3 linked regions of the Saccharomyces cerevisiae S288C genome follow. The gene in region 3 interacts genetically with the main gene of each other region. Each region holds a gene or a part of one and is shown on either strand. Other genes may lie near its edges.

The links.
Region 1: mutations in RAD57 (region 3) and REV1 together harm fitness more than expected from each alone (negative genetic interaction), as found in Saccharomyces cerevisiae (6 studies listed by BioGRID, with this or other methods).
Region 2: mutations in RAD57 (region 3) and NUP133 together harm fitness more than expected from each alone (negative genetic interaction), as found in Saccharomyces cerevisiae (4 studies listed by BioGRID, with this or other methods).

What each region holds. Positions count from the first base shown.
Region 1 is NC_001147.6:980,126-985,345, reverse strand, and holds REV1 (deoxycytidyl transferase), read right to left. Parts: upstream 3,519-5,220; coding exon 561-3,518; downstream 1-560. Other genes in the region: pyruvate kinase PYK2, read left to right, coding at 1-404. UniProt on the Saccharomyces cerevisiae protein: Deoxycytidyl transferase involved in DNA repair. Transfers a dCMP residue from dCTP to the 3'-end of a DNA primer in a template-dependent reaction.
Region 2 is NC_001143.9:591,078-596,858, reverse strand, and holds NUP133 (Nup133p), read right to left. Parts: upstream 4,035-5,781; coding exon 561-4,034; downstream 1-560. Other genes in the region: DAD2 (Dad2p), read left to right, coding at 37-438; rRNA-binding ribosome biosynthesis protein RPF2, read left to right, coding at 4,319-5,353; MTD1 (methylenetetrahydrofolate dehydrogenase (NAD(+))), read right to left, coding at 5,502-5,781. UniProt on the Saccharomyces cerevisiae protein: Functions as a component of the nuclear pore complex (NPC).
Region 3 is NC_001136.10:453,519-457,083, reverse strand, and holds RAD57 (putative DNA-dependent ATPase RAD57), read right to left. Parts: upstream 1,884-3,565; coding exon 501-1,883; downstream 1-500. Other genes in the region: RNA polymerase III-inhibiting protein MAF1, read left to right, coding at 1-248; YDR003W-A (uncharacterized protein), read right to left, coding at 2,180-2,302; RCR2 (Rcr2p), read right to left, coding at 2,330-2,962; Ran GTPase-binding protein YRB1, read right to left, coding at 3,434-3,565. UniProt on the Saccharomyces cerevisiae protein: Participates in the repair of X-ray-induced damage to DNA and in meiosis. It may act in part by stabilizing a repair complex of other RAD genes.

The DNA of each region.
Region 1 (5,220 bases), on a different chromosome or scaffold from region 3:
CCACTCCCAAACCTACTTCCACTACGGAAACTGTAGCAGCTGCAGCTACCGCAGCAATCTTGGAGCAAGATGGTAAGGCCATCGTTGTATTATCTACTACAGGGAACACGGCAAGGCTACTGTCGAAGTATAGACCAAGCTGCCCTATCATATTAGTAACAAGACACGCAAGAACGGCAAGAATTGCGCATTTGTATAGAGGTGTTTTCCCATTTCTGTATGAACCGAAACGCCTAGACGACTGGGGTGAGGATGTTCATAGGCGCCTAAAGTTTGGTGTTGAAATGGCGAGGTCTTTCGGAATGGTGGACAACGGTGATACTGTTGTTTCCATTCAAGGATTCAAAGGAGGAGTCGGCCATTCCAATACCTTACGCATTTCTACTGTTGGTCAAGAATTCTAGTAAAAATTAAAGTCCTTATTTTTTTTACTTAATTTTATTTAATTGTCCATTGTGTCAGTTATTTTTTTTTTCTTTGGTAATAATCATGCAGATATTACAGGTAATGTTCGCAAACTGCGTGTTTACTGTATGCTGAAATGTTTTTTTTTTTTTAATTCAAACTTCAAAGTCCATGTCAAGTTTACGCACAGTCTGGTAAGTATGTTTATTTCTGTTTAAAAGTGGAATTATATCATTGAGTAAAATTCTTTCCCACGTTTGGAAGCCTGAATGATCCTGATTTAAAAAGGCGCAGAGATTTAATTCCCTTGATATTAGGTTTGATAAATGAAGAACTAAATGGACTCTATTAGAATCGCAAAGTTTAATCAAATATTTCACGAATAATTTAACATCTTTTTCATGCGGCCCTCCATCACCTAAAGTTTCGGCAACCCATTGTTTCACTAATTGACAAATTTTTTTGAACCGTGTCAGATTTTGGAATTTGATCGGCTGGAATATACTATTTTGGCCCATGAAATGATTTTTCTCGTTCTGTAGGCTCTCTTCTCTCCTTTTTATCTTTTCTTGTAGGTTTCCTAACTTTGTCTGTTGGATTTTTTTCTGAATTCTCAAGTCGTGCCTTACTTCTGCTCGAATTTGGGTTGGTAGTTCATTCATAAACTGTTCTTCCATAGTACTGGGCAAATCATTTACTTCTAATCTGGAAATGGCAAATCCTTTTTTTTTAGAGCTCAATGAGTTTGAAGTCAACCCGGATTCTTTTCTCTTATAATTTCTTTTCTCGAACTCGTTGTTAATGTCATTTTTTACATCTTCCGGTAAGGCTTCGAAAGCTCTGTTCGTCACTATTGTTTTAAACGGTAACCTCAGTTTCAGCTGATTGTTATCCGGACCCACATCAACCAATTTGTTGAATTGTAGAGCAAGACCTCTTAATTCCATTGGAGGGCAGCCCAAAGTTCGATACAAACTTTTCATTTCGGTAGCAATAATTCCAAATTCGTTTGTTGGAATACCTAATCTGCTGCTCCGACTGAATGAGTCGCACCTTCCCATCCCCATATATTTTGGGGGTTCAATTGGAGCGTCTTTACATCTTCTCATCAGTTTTAATGTGATTTGTGACGTTGTTTTGTTTATTTCATTCAATTTTTCTAAAAGATACTGACAACCTCTTTCTATGAACAAGTCTACCTGAGTGATATTTTTAAATCTGATTCCCCAATTGATATCAATTGATAATGATTTTCTTTGTAAGACTTCTTTGGGATCGTACAGTATTTTCAAGCTTTCTTCATCATCTTGGCCTTGTAACGCGAGATGAATCTTCATACCTAACTTAGAGCCGACGCTCGCCTTCAAAGCATCTAAAGTATATCTTTTTCTCAAGTCATTTAAAGAATGTGGGCTATCAAACGTTGATTCTAACCTTGACAGAGTAGAATGCCCAACTCCAGGCAGATCATCTAGTTTGAAACTAGACCAGAATTCTTCAGATAGGTTACTCTTAAACGTGATATTGTAACCATTTGGTTTCGCCATTTTGAGAGCTAGTCTTGCTAACACAAGAGAATCGGAACATCCAATGCTCACTGTGCAACCATTCGTTCCTTGAAAAATTTCTTGGCGTATTTCTTCGCACAGTCTTGCATTTAAGGTATTAGTGTTATGAATATTATCAGGGATTATCCTCACACAAACAGCTTCATCAATAGATATAGGTAAAATCAAATTGAATATGTTCAATCTTTTGAGAGTACTGTAAAAGGCTTCCGATTTTAATTGAAATTGCTCAAAGGTATATGGTAATGATATTAGTTTGATCCCATTTGGCAACATCTTTTCAGCTTGAGACACCCACATTCCATTTTTAATCCCATATGACCTTGCTACATAATTGCAACTAGCTATATCGGAGTTTTTAGTACCATGGCATACCACTATAGGATCCCGTTTAAAATCACATGCTGAGAAACTAGAACTTCTACATAGATACGCAACAGTTGCAAAAAAACAGTCAAAATCGATATGAAAGATAATGTAGGTATCCTTATCCGTAATTTTGGTGTACTTGTGGATGTTTTCATTCAGAAATTTATCTTTCAGATTGGCCTTCCATGCGGAGAGATGATGTAATCTCGAATGAGCAAAATAGGAAGTAAGGAAATCAGGATCATCACAAGCGACTATCCTTTTCGCCTCCAAATTATTGAGATTTACTGGTGACTGCTGTTCTACTGGCAACAATGCCGACCCTACACATTTAGATCCTTTGTGCAGGCTAGTCTCTGAGGGCAATGGAATTGAATTTACGGTTTTACAATTATCTAGTTTTTTTTGCTGTTCATCAAGTTTAGATGTTAACGAGTAATTTTGCCAGGGCAATAATCTTGCTTCTTTGACGCTATCAACTATCCAATCCGGACTGACTACTTTGTAATTTGCAAATTCAATCCTTTTCTTTAATGGTAAATTGGAAGCCACTATGTGAGTAACCGTTTTCTTTGAAGACAAATAGTGTAAAAATTTTCCGCCATGTAAAACTATCATCTCGTGTAATTGCAGTCTTCCAGGTTTGGTGTAGCCATTTATATAGATGACGCAATTTTTGAATATTTTACTGCTTTGACTAGAAATTTGATCTTTATATTGATCTTTTAATATTTGATCTTGCAGGGTTTGTCCGTGCGCCTTCTCGTGGAAATAAGCCTCCCTAGTATACACAGTATTTTTTTTAACATCATCACCATTGCTATCACTTTCCTGGATCTCGATGACGCTACGAGCTATAGGTGAATCTTCGCCACCGCCAAGATCAGCATGTAATTCATCACAGCTAATATTTTTAGTAGTAAATCTTAAAGTACCTGCAGTTGGATTAGAATTATTCTTATTAGTTTGGGAGAGTTGGTTGACATATTCAATTAAGGAATCATCGCTTAACGTAGATAGAAAAGACCTTGCATTCAAGCCGCCGGTCTTTGCTGTTAAATGTGAATCATTGACACTTTGCTGGCTAAGGCAATTGTTTTTATCAGGTGTTTCCCTATTTATAGAGTATTCCAAATCGCTGTCCAATAAATCTACAAGACCACCATGTTCACCCATCGCTGGATATGCCTAGAAATGCAGTATCGATTTATTTTGAGAAAATCTGTCAACTCGTTACTTCTTTGATAGGGAAATCTTTAGTTAAATTTGTTTAAAATTAAGAACCAGGTCTTTAGACTATGCCAAAAGGTATTGGTGCTTAAAGGTTGCCGTAAACTCTAACTCTATATATCTCTAAGCCAATGTTTAAGTTGATGCGATGTGCATGATCACTTCACATTTTTTTCATGATTTTGTTTTCTTCCTTAGCTACTTTTTTCCGTCTTGGTCTGTGTAAAAAAAAAATCGCTTCACTGAAGAAAAATATAAATAAAAAAAGGACATCAGCAAGTTCGTAGTCAATAAATGTGATGAGTAATTTGCGATAATCTACCCCAACTCAAAGCATTCAATTCAAATGAAAGAAGAGTTCGTGAATTTTAATCTGGCTTACAGATTGGATCATAGCTTCTAATATATCTTCCTTTTTATTTTAAAGTGATTAAAATATGTGGATGTCTGCATTAAGGTGAAGGCAGACTATAGTGAAAAATAGTAGCAAAGGCTTCATATAATGAACTACCTAGTTGTATTCAATTGGAATCTGTGAACGCGGCATTAAAAGAATATTTGAGCTTTTTTTGATTGTATTAACCTGAAGCTATCACGGTTTAGACTCATTAAAAGAAAAATATCCGGTTGTATCGGATAACAACACCGCTGTAGTAGCACAGTTTTTTGATCATAGTTTCATTATTTTTTTAAATATGCTTGTATACAGTAATCTAGTTTTGGACGGATTATTCATGTCAGTAAGATTTTACTATCTACTTTAAAATTATCGAAACAGATATCAACTATACATCCACTCATTATTGGCATAGCGAAATAAAATTTATGAATAGGAAGGATATAAAACGAAAATTGAAATCGTTTAGTATTATATGAAACTATTAGTCTTTTCGTTTTCGTCGTCATACTTACATTCTTCTTTTATAAATATTGTTGTGCCTAAGAAACAAAATTAAGTAACTGTCTAAAACGAAGTTGCAAAAAAAGGGGCGAGCTGGGAATTGAACCCAGGGCCTCTCGCATGCTTTGTTCCTCCTGTTTGATCAGGGGGATCGCCCAAAGCGAGAATCATTCCACTAGACCACACGCCCATACAATTTGTGATTTCTCAAAGTTCAAGATGAAGTATTATAATTTTATATTCATTTTCCTCAGTCCCAAAAACGAATGGTTGAAGAGAACTGTTGGAATAAAAATCCACTATCGTCTATCAACTAATAGTTATACTATCAATATATTATCATATACGGTGTTAAGATGATGACACAAGTTATGAGAAGCTGTCATCGAAGTTAGAGGAAGCTGAAGTGCAAGGATTGATAATGTAATAGGATAATGAAACATATAAAACGGAATGAGGAATAATCGTAATATTGGTATATAGAAATATAGATTCCATTATGGGGATTCCTAGACCCTCGAGGAGAACTTCTAGTATATTCTGTATACCTAATATTATAGCCTTTATCAACAATGGAATCCCAACAATTATCTCAACATTCACCCATTTCTCAAGAACATTGTTGAAATGTAGCGCAATAAGTGGTGATTGATACCAACGTTTGCTGCTACGTTAGCAACCTAAACGCTTACACCAAATGTTTAAATTAGTATACTTTTCGAAAATTCGGTGGATATTAGAATAATT
Region 2 (5,781 bases), on a different chromosome or scaffold from region 3:
AATAGGTTTGAAAAACTCATAATTCAGACAGTTATTATGGATTCAATAGATGAACAAATTGCTATAAAGCGAAAAGAACTTCAGTCATTACAAAAGATAACCAGTTTAACGGATGGCTTAAAAATTCAGCTAACAGAGTTGAATGAGCAGATCAAAGAAATGGGAATGAATGCGGATTCAGTGGCCCAATTGATGAACAATTGGGATTCTATAATAAACAATATATCGCAAGCAAGTTTGGGATTATTGCAATATGCAGAGGGTGATTATGAGATAGGACCGTGGAAAGATTCTAAGAAAAAGGAATCTGAACAATCAAATGAAACAGGTCTTGAAGCGCAAGAAAATGATAAGAATGATGAAGATAATGATGAGGATGAAGATCTGGTACCCTTGCCGGAAACAATGGTCAGAATTAGGGTAGATGGTAACGAATGAACAGAAAGAAAAGGATCTTATATAAATCGGAAGAAGGCAGTTGCGATAATAGCATATACATATTTATTATTATCATTCCCCAGTAAAGTTTATTATATATATGTAAAATTGTATTATAGATATTAGTATTCTACAGTGTTGGTTTCATAGTTGATGGTATAGTTTTTTTCTTTCGCTACAGAACCAATAGTCGAGTGCAACTTTATCTCGAGTGAGTTGTCTGAGTTCAACGTTTCCACTTGAGATATTTCTTCATATATCTCTTCACGTATGGCATTCTGATCAATAGGAAACCTGCCATATGTTTCGCTTATGTATTCTGGCGTCAGTAACGATTTGTCACATAAAAGATCCACACTGGGCAAGGGGAAATCATTATTTTTGGGTAGTTCTTCATCAAAAACACGTTTGACTATATGCTGAAGCAGTTTATCTCCTTCATTACTAGCATTTAGTAGAACGATTCTTCTCCATACCAAAGCATTCAAGAACTTTTTAACTTCAAAATTCAGTAAGTTTCCATCAACAGAAAGAAGCCTTAGCGGTATGAATAAGCTCTCTTCATCGTCGAGCATAGAATACAACTCAACGAGATCCGATAGATTGACTACTGTTGTTGATTTAAGCTCTTCCACTAATATGTTGAAAACTTCCCTGATAGAGCCATTCTTGAAGCGTTTACATATCTGAACTTCGCCCTTTTTCAATTTGTTTGAAATATTTTTCTCAGCATCAATTGTATCTAAATTATATTGGATCTTTCTCAAAGTATTAATGTCCAAATTATCCTTTTCAACTAGCAACGAGCTTAATTTTGCAACATTCAAGTGCAATTCACATTCGCTCAAGCTTTCGCCCTTCTTTGAATCATCAACAGTAATGTTTTTTAAAGTATTCATGGCATCTGCGTACGACCCATCCAGAATCTGTTGGATCCATGCTACATGACCGTACTTTGGAGCGGACTCTTGGAAAAACTGTATTAAAACATCGTGTTGTTGTGGGAACCTGAAGATGAGGTCGTTCAATTTTTTATGCTTGATTAAATATTCAAATAATGTAAAGCTAAACTCTTTAGGGAATTCGTTGAAGAATGTTTCGTATAGCGATACGGTTGTTGAGTCATTTTGATCTAAAGTTTGTAATGTTTGCACCAATCCAGATAAATCTTTGTAAAATTCTGCTATTTGAATACACTGTTCTTTTAGATTTACCTTACAAAGGACGTGGTTCCAATCCAGGTGGTTATCATCATAAAGATTGTTGATATTTATAAAATTATCATTGGCGTTCACAGATTTAACGGGTTGCGTGTTGATCCATATTTTAAATTGGTTGAACTGATAATATAAAATTTTCACAATCTTTAACAAGCCCTCTTTATAAGAATCCAGACTTCCTTCCTCCTCACACGCAAATGTAAAATCAAAAAAACATTGATTGATACAGTTTAAGTAATCAAAGTTTATGAACCATGGTAGCTTGGATGTATCAACCTCCATCGGGTCTAACTCCAAAAGTTCATACCTTATAGTTTTTTCACCTTCTTCAAGAATTCCATCATAAAAGCATAAGTTGATTAAATTGGTAACATTTAGTTTGAAATTTTGATTTTGTGATGGGAACAAAACAAACACAACATGGTTTAAAAATTGTTTAAAGATTACTGGAAATACGTCGGGACTGTTGATTACAACTGTTTTAGTAGTTAAGTGTTCATTTTGTGTCAGATTATAGTTTGATAAAGTCTTCTCCCATATATCGTTCAATACATCAGATTGTCTGATGATACTATTGAACTTAATACAGCAATTCAAGATCTCAAATTTTTCGATCAGATCCAATTTCAGTTCGGGTGATATTTTATAGTTGAAGTTCTTAGCAACAAATGTCAGGAAATTTTGAAAAAATTCTTTACGGACAGAGAGATGTTGCCCCAACGTATTTAGCATAGGGGGTATGTACTTGCCGTTGGAATGAAAAATCTCCTCGCTGGTTAATTTTAAATCATGCTCTATAGATTCTTGATCTAGTGAAATTTCTGGAGGTAAATTGAAATCTATGGGATTTGCATTTATTTTGGAGAAATAAACAGCTTGATCAACATGAGATTTGACAAACCCAACTTCCGGTTTAGAATTTGTTTCCTCATTCTCTTTCACAAAAAACTGTAGCACCCCCATTTGTTTCGTTAAAACATACAAAGATTTTGAGTCGTAACCAGAACCAATTATATCAATGTCATTTCTAAGGCTAACAATATCTTCCCACTTTCTTCTCATTGAATAGCTAGAGTCCAATTTTGAGTTCACCTGAGTAATGACAACAGCATTGGGGAACATTACCAAAATGGAAGTTACCTCATTGGTATCGTTAGCATTCTCCATCTGAGGTATAAATATCTTAGGCTTAAACTTTGTGTCGGTTATTGACTCCATAAAAGTGTTCAATCTATAAGTGGAAAAAATAGTAAAACTATTAGAAGAAGAATCGAAGATAATCGTGGAAAGAATATAATATGTTTCATTGCATGAACTGTCGTAAATAGATGACAGGAAAAGTTGTGAACTTTCATCTTGTAATGGATGAGAGTCCCAAATCTTCAACGTACCATGAGCAAATGGATACAAATCCTGGAGCGACTCTAAAATGGCTTCGTAAATGTTTACATCAATCAATTTTGTTGGATGGGAATTCGTGGCAGACAACTGCCATGTTTGAAAAATTCCTTTGTTAGTAGTAATATATACTAACCTTGTCCCCTTACCGAGGATAGGTCCATTTCGTAATGAGACAACTGAACTGTTTGTATTGAAAATTTTGGACCAGATACCCAATTTGAAAGGTTTATTTAATAGTTTGCCTAACTTCAGTTGAGGTTTACCCATGGAATTTCTAATGGTTATAAAAAATATTCTGCCCATATTTGTAGAAAGCACTATACCAGCAGGTTCGCAGTTTAACATTAGGTCACACTTCTCTCCGCCCGAAGAGTTGATGGGTAATTCTAACTCGTGAGAGAATTTTTCAGATAACTTAAAGTTCAAATTATTTATGGAGTTGATATCCTCATAATATATCGCTTTGCTACCTTTGATAATGATAAGCCCTCCGGTTTCGTCCTGATCATTAGGATTCAGTGCTAATGGAGACTCATCCATTGTAGCAGGGAAAGTTAGTATGCACCTGGGCGCGACTGCTATTTCATCATTATCATCAGAACGAAATGGTACAGTTATATAGGGCGTATCCTTTTGAGTGGAGTGAATATTCCAGATGTAAACCTTCTTGTGGTCATTGACTAGTCCATATCCAATTTGCATATCGATATATCCATTCAATTCGTCATCGTTACTGAATCCGCTACTGTAGTCTGTTTGAAGGGTTTTTACTATGTATCTGTTATTTTCTGTGAAAACCTTGGAATTATCAAAGTGCGAATGTAACCTTAACTGTTGCTGCTCCATGGAAATGTCCATTAGAGAGGCCTGGCTTTCCTCTTCATAAGACAACTGCGCCAGGGATTCGTTTTCAACCACCGCAATGGGTACGCTAAGTTCCTTCCGCAAACGAAGATGTACTTTTTTTTCACTCATATGGCTATCCTAATGTACTTCACTTGAATTGGATGTAACAGTATGCTCGAGCTCCTCTAAACCTTATTCCTAAATGGTGTATGTTTTGGTTTATTCTGCTATTTTGATTCCTAAATCCTCAAATATATCGTTTTATACGATTTGAAAATTTTTCATTTTTTTGCGATGAGCTAAGGATCGAATTTTCTTATAGTGTAATGCATTATTGGAAAGTGATTTGGTATATCGATGAGTTGTATTGAAGTTATCATATCCAAAAGCGCAGGAGAACACTGGCAGAAAAAATGATTAGAACCGTAAAACCCAAGAATGCAAGAGCCAAGAGAGCTTTGGTAAAGAGGGAAGCTAAGTTGGTAGAGAATGTCAAGCAAGCGCTATTCATTCCAGGGCAAAGCTGTAACAAGAATCTGCACGATATTATGGTAGATTTGAGTGCCTTGAAGAAGCCAGATATGAAGAGGTTCAATCGTAAGAATGATATTCATCCTTTCGAAGACATGTCGCCACTAGAGTTCTTTAGTGAAAAGAATGACTGTTCATTGATGGTGCTGATGACAAGTTCCAAAAAGCGTAAAAACAACATGACCTTTATACGTACATTTGGCTACAAAATATATGATATGATTGAACTAATGGTTGCAGATAATTTCAAGTTGTTATCTGATTTTAAGAAATTAACATTTACTGTAGGGTTGAAGCCTATGTTTACATTCCAAGGTGCTGCATTTGATACACATCCCGTATACAAGCAAATTAAATCTTTGTTTTTAGATTTCTTTAGAGGCGAATCTACTGATTTACAGGATGTTGCGGGATTACAACATGTCATTTCCATGACCATTCAAGGTGACTTCCAAGATGGTGAGCCATTGCCGAACGTTCTATTCCGTGTTTACAAATTAAAAAGTTATAAAAGCGACCAAGGTGGTAAGAGATTACCACGTATTGAATTGGTGGAGATTGGGCCACGTCTAGATTTCAAAATCGGCAGAATTCATACTCCAAGTCCAGATATGGTCACTGAAGCTCACAAGAAGCCAAAACAATTAGAAATGAAGACAAAGAAGAATGTAGAATTAGATATCATGGGTGATAAATTGGGTAGAATCCATATGGGCAAACAAGATTTGGGTAAACTACAAACAAGAAAGATGAAGGGTTTGAAATCCAAATTCGACCAAGGAACTGAAGAAGGTGATGGAGAGGTAGATGAAGACTACGAAGATGAAGCGTCGTATTCGGATGATGGACAAGAATACGAAGAAGAGTTCGTCAGTGCCACTGATATTGAGCCCTCTGCTAAAAGACAGAAGAAATAAGACCCATAAACTTTGTATATTATATGATAATCTAAGAGAGGAGAATTCTATATGTATGTAGTAAGTACATTACAAATGATCTTTCTTTTTTTCCCTTATTTTTATGTATTCTGTTTTACCTATGCTTATTTGAACAGCCACAAATGTTCTATTTTTCTTTAGACAGTTCTACGTTCCTTACTAAACGTAACATGTTTCTCAACAACATTGCAATGGTAACTTTACCAGTCATTGGAACGTAAAGAGAAGCTTTTTCCTTGACATCATCGCTAAAATTTTTGGTGCATGCAAAATTGATGCAGACGGCACCTTCTTTGATGTATTCGGTGGGGAATTTGTAATTTTCACTAGGGACACCAGTGATGACCACATCTGAATCAAGAGAACACTTTTTCAACAGATCTTCAGAGTACTCCCCAAGGTCTTCC
Region 3 (3,565 bases):
AGCCTGGCTATCTTTGGAATCTTATAGGTTTTCTTTACAACAGGAAAAGGAAAAGAGTGGCTTACCTTTACTTGATTTGCTCGCGTCTAAATTCGAGTACAGGCGAAGTGGAAGATGCCTTGGCAAAAAAACCTCAGGGAAAGCTTATAATAGATGATGGCTCAAATGAATACGAAGGAGAATACGATTTCACTTATGATGAGAATGTAATAGATGATAAATCAGATCAAGAAGAATCCCTACAGTAGTTTTAAACTTTAATTTGTGAATTTTCCTTGTCTTACACCTATAATCGTTAAAAACAGTCCCTTTATGTCTACTATTGTAAGTTTCTATTTTTAAAAAAATACCCTTTTCAACTATGTACCTTTATGACAATATTATATTTACTAATTGAACACTTTAGCGAGGATTGAATAATGTGCGCTACTATATAAAAAGACTGCCTTCATCATATATTACTGCAAAGCTCTTAGTTTCTTTCGAATACGGAACTTCAATCAGGCTGTTTCTATTCCTCGCTTAGTAATTTGATATGCAATTTGACCAGGCTTAGCGAATGTGGAATATACCACTTTCATTGTCCTCTTAACTTGCCAGAAGCTTGCCGAATCACCTCCCTTATAAAGATGAGCTTCACCTCTTTGAATTATTGTTGAAGCCTTGAAAGATTTTTGAAGTAATATTCGTGTTGAAACGTGATTGGACCAAGTCAAACCGAGATTGGGGACACGATAGTCAAATTTCCGTTTCTTACTTTGTCGACTGATAGGACTTGATGAATTTCGCTCAACGGTTTTATTCTCAATTATGGGTGGTTTCTTTTTTGAAAAAAAATCATAATTCCGGTCATTTACAGTGCTCATAACTCTCTCGATTAGCATATAATCTTCATCGTCTGATAGAATTTCATCGTTATTGGAACTTGCTCCAAGCAGCGAATTCATCTGCCGATAAAGAATGGTTGAGTTCTTCCAGCCAACTAGCCACCCTAGCTGATAATCATAATCAGTTACATATGTCCTATGTGCCACTGGACTGTTAGCCAGTGGTTTATCCCCAACTTGATTAGCCACCACAACGGATAATGAATAATCGTGGGCCAGTATTTGGAGCTTCTCTGCCATCCTATCCAGATAGTTTTTATTTTCTTGGGATTCTCTGAAGGACTTGTTCTGAAGCTCCACCCTCAAATGATGAGAAATCGAATCTATTATCACCAATTTTATTGAACCCTTAGATCTCTCTAATAAAATAGGCAACTGAACATTGATTATGTGTTCCTGATTTATTAGGTCGTTACAGCTGACGGTGAAAATATTTGATTGTGTAATACCTAGTTTTTCATAAGCCGGCCTAGACGATAGCATACTTTCCAATCTCTGAGTTGGTAAATCGCCCTCAGTGGTAATATATACACATTTGCCGCCAAGCCCTCCCGCAGGTTCGGAAAGTTGGACACTTAACGCCAACTGCATAAGTAATTGAGATTTACCAGTAGAGCTCTCTCCGAATATTTCTGTAATGCCATGCGTGAATATGCCTCCACCTAATAATTCATCCATAGCTACATCAGCAGTCGTGAAACACTCAGGACCGTTATCTGGGCTGATAGAGTTTTTTTCACAGATTTCTAAGTACTTTTCATTATATTCATGAACAAGCAATTGCTGAAATCTGAAAACCTCATTTATCGACCTTTGTATTAGCCTTGCCAATTCCTTCGGAGTGAGTGTTAAAAAATCTACGACGCAGACACCATTTTGCCTTACTGCATCCAAAAGATATGAAAATTCTTCATCATAAAGGAGTTTACTTTCCGGTAATTCATCGTAAAGGTCCATATACGTATTGTCAAATTTTATTGATAAGGCCCTAGGCATGAATTTACACACTTTGAAAAATGGTGAATTCCCAGTGGTTGTTCATCATTTTCATTTTTTGAATTCAACGCGAAAAAGCCGAAGATTAACCGGCATCTGAATTCTCATGTTACTTAGAGGATAATGTGTGAGAAGAAATAGGTAAAGGAAGAATATATTTATAATATATAGGCAATTAGACTAATCAAAATCACCGTCCGTATAAATCGTTGAATGGCTTTTCCGTGGACCGAGTCGAAAGCGTTCCGATGAATTGACTGTTCTGGACGTCGATACTACCAGCTCTCAAACCTAAATCAATAGTATGTTCCTACTATAATACACAACTCGGAATAATCGCGACTTTCAAAGAAACGAAAACTTCTGTACTTCTTTTTTTTTTCAGCACTCTTATAACTATTTTCTATACCGCAAGTCATGCGATAATAAATTCATTAAACGAAAAATCACTTACTCACTTTCGCTCTTGCCGGCGCGTTATTAACATCAAAGGAAGAAGATTCAACAGTCGGAGAATGCTGCTCGTTGCGATTACTCTGACCATTAACGAAATTATTCATAGTGGGTCTTAGCAGATTGAAGTCGAATTCACTTTCACTAGGAATTCGTACGACGGCAGCCACTGGGCGCTGTAAGTCTTTATCAGTCGAGCTAGCTTGTTCTTCTGATAAAGGCGGTGGCGCTAAATATTCCGTTTTGCCATTAGGATGAAACTCTCCTCGTTCGTCGTAAAACCCCAAATCATTCTCATTTGCTGTCTCTGTATATTCAGGAACATAGTCTTCAACGCAACGCTGTGTGCCATTGTAATCTCTCTCGGACTGCCTGTAGGTAGGCGGGGTTAACCAAGCGGTTCCCCTAATCGGAGCTTGACCCATAATTCTTCTTCTCCTATTCACTTTTGCAGTTGAAAACAGAAGTATAAGGAGTGCAACTATGAAAAAAATAAAAAAAATCCATCTTCCCCATCTCCATGAGGAAGAGCTAAATGGATCATCATCTGTAATCGCTTCACCATTGTTATTATTATCATCCTGTCTTTTATGTATTAGGAAGTCGATCTGCTCCCGTAAAATCATTTCAAAACTATACTCTCTGTTTAGCTAAATTTCCTTCAGCTTTCTAGCGAGCTAAGGAATGTATTCCAAATTTACTGCTCCTTTATTACGTCAAAAATTTCTATAGTATTCGATTCTCATTAGTAATTATAAAGGAGTAGCGAGAAAAACAAAAATAAAAGGGCGGAAACATAAAGATGGTAAATAAGACAGAGAATATTACCCGGAAACATACTACGAGATTATTGAGCTAATCTCCATGCACCAAAGTGGTTAGACATTTGGCTACATTGACTACTGCAACAATTACTTGAACCCTCTAATCCTTCTTACATATCTATTCATATGTGATTTCACAATGCTACATAAGCGTTTTTTATATAATTAAAGAGCAACTTTTCCTCACAGTAGATAAAAATATATATGCACGCTGTAAAGGAAAATTACATTAGGAACAAAAAAATCTAGACGCAAGTAACAAGCACATCGAAACTAAGCCTTTTTGTTGATTTCTTGAGCTTTTTCAAATTCTTCTTTAAATTTATCAGCATTTTCCTTACTGCCAAATCTGATAGCAAAAGTGAAGGCTTCTGCTTCACCTTCTGCAATATCTGCTGTACAAGC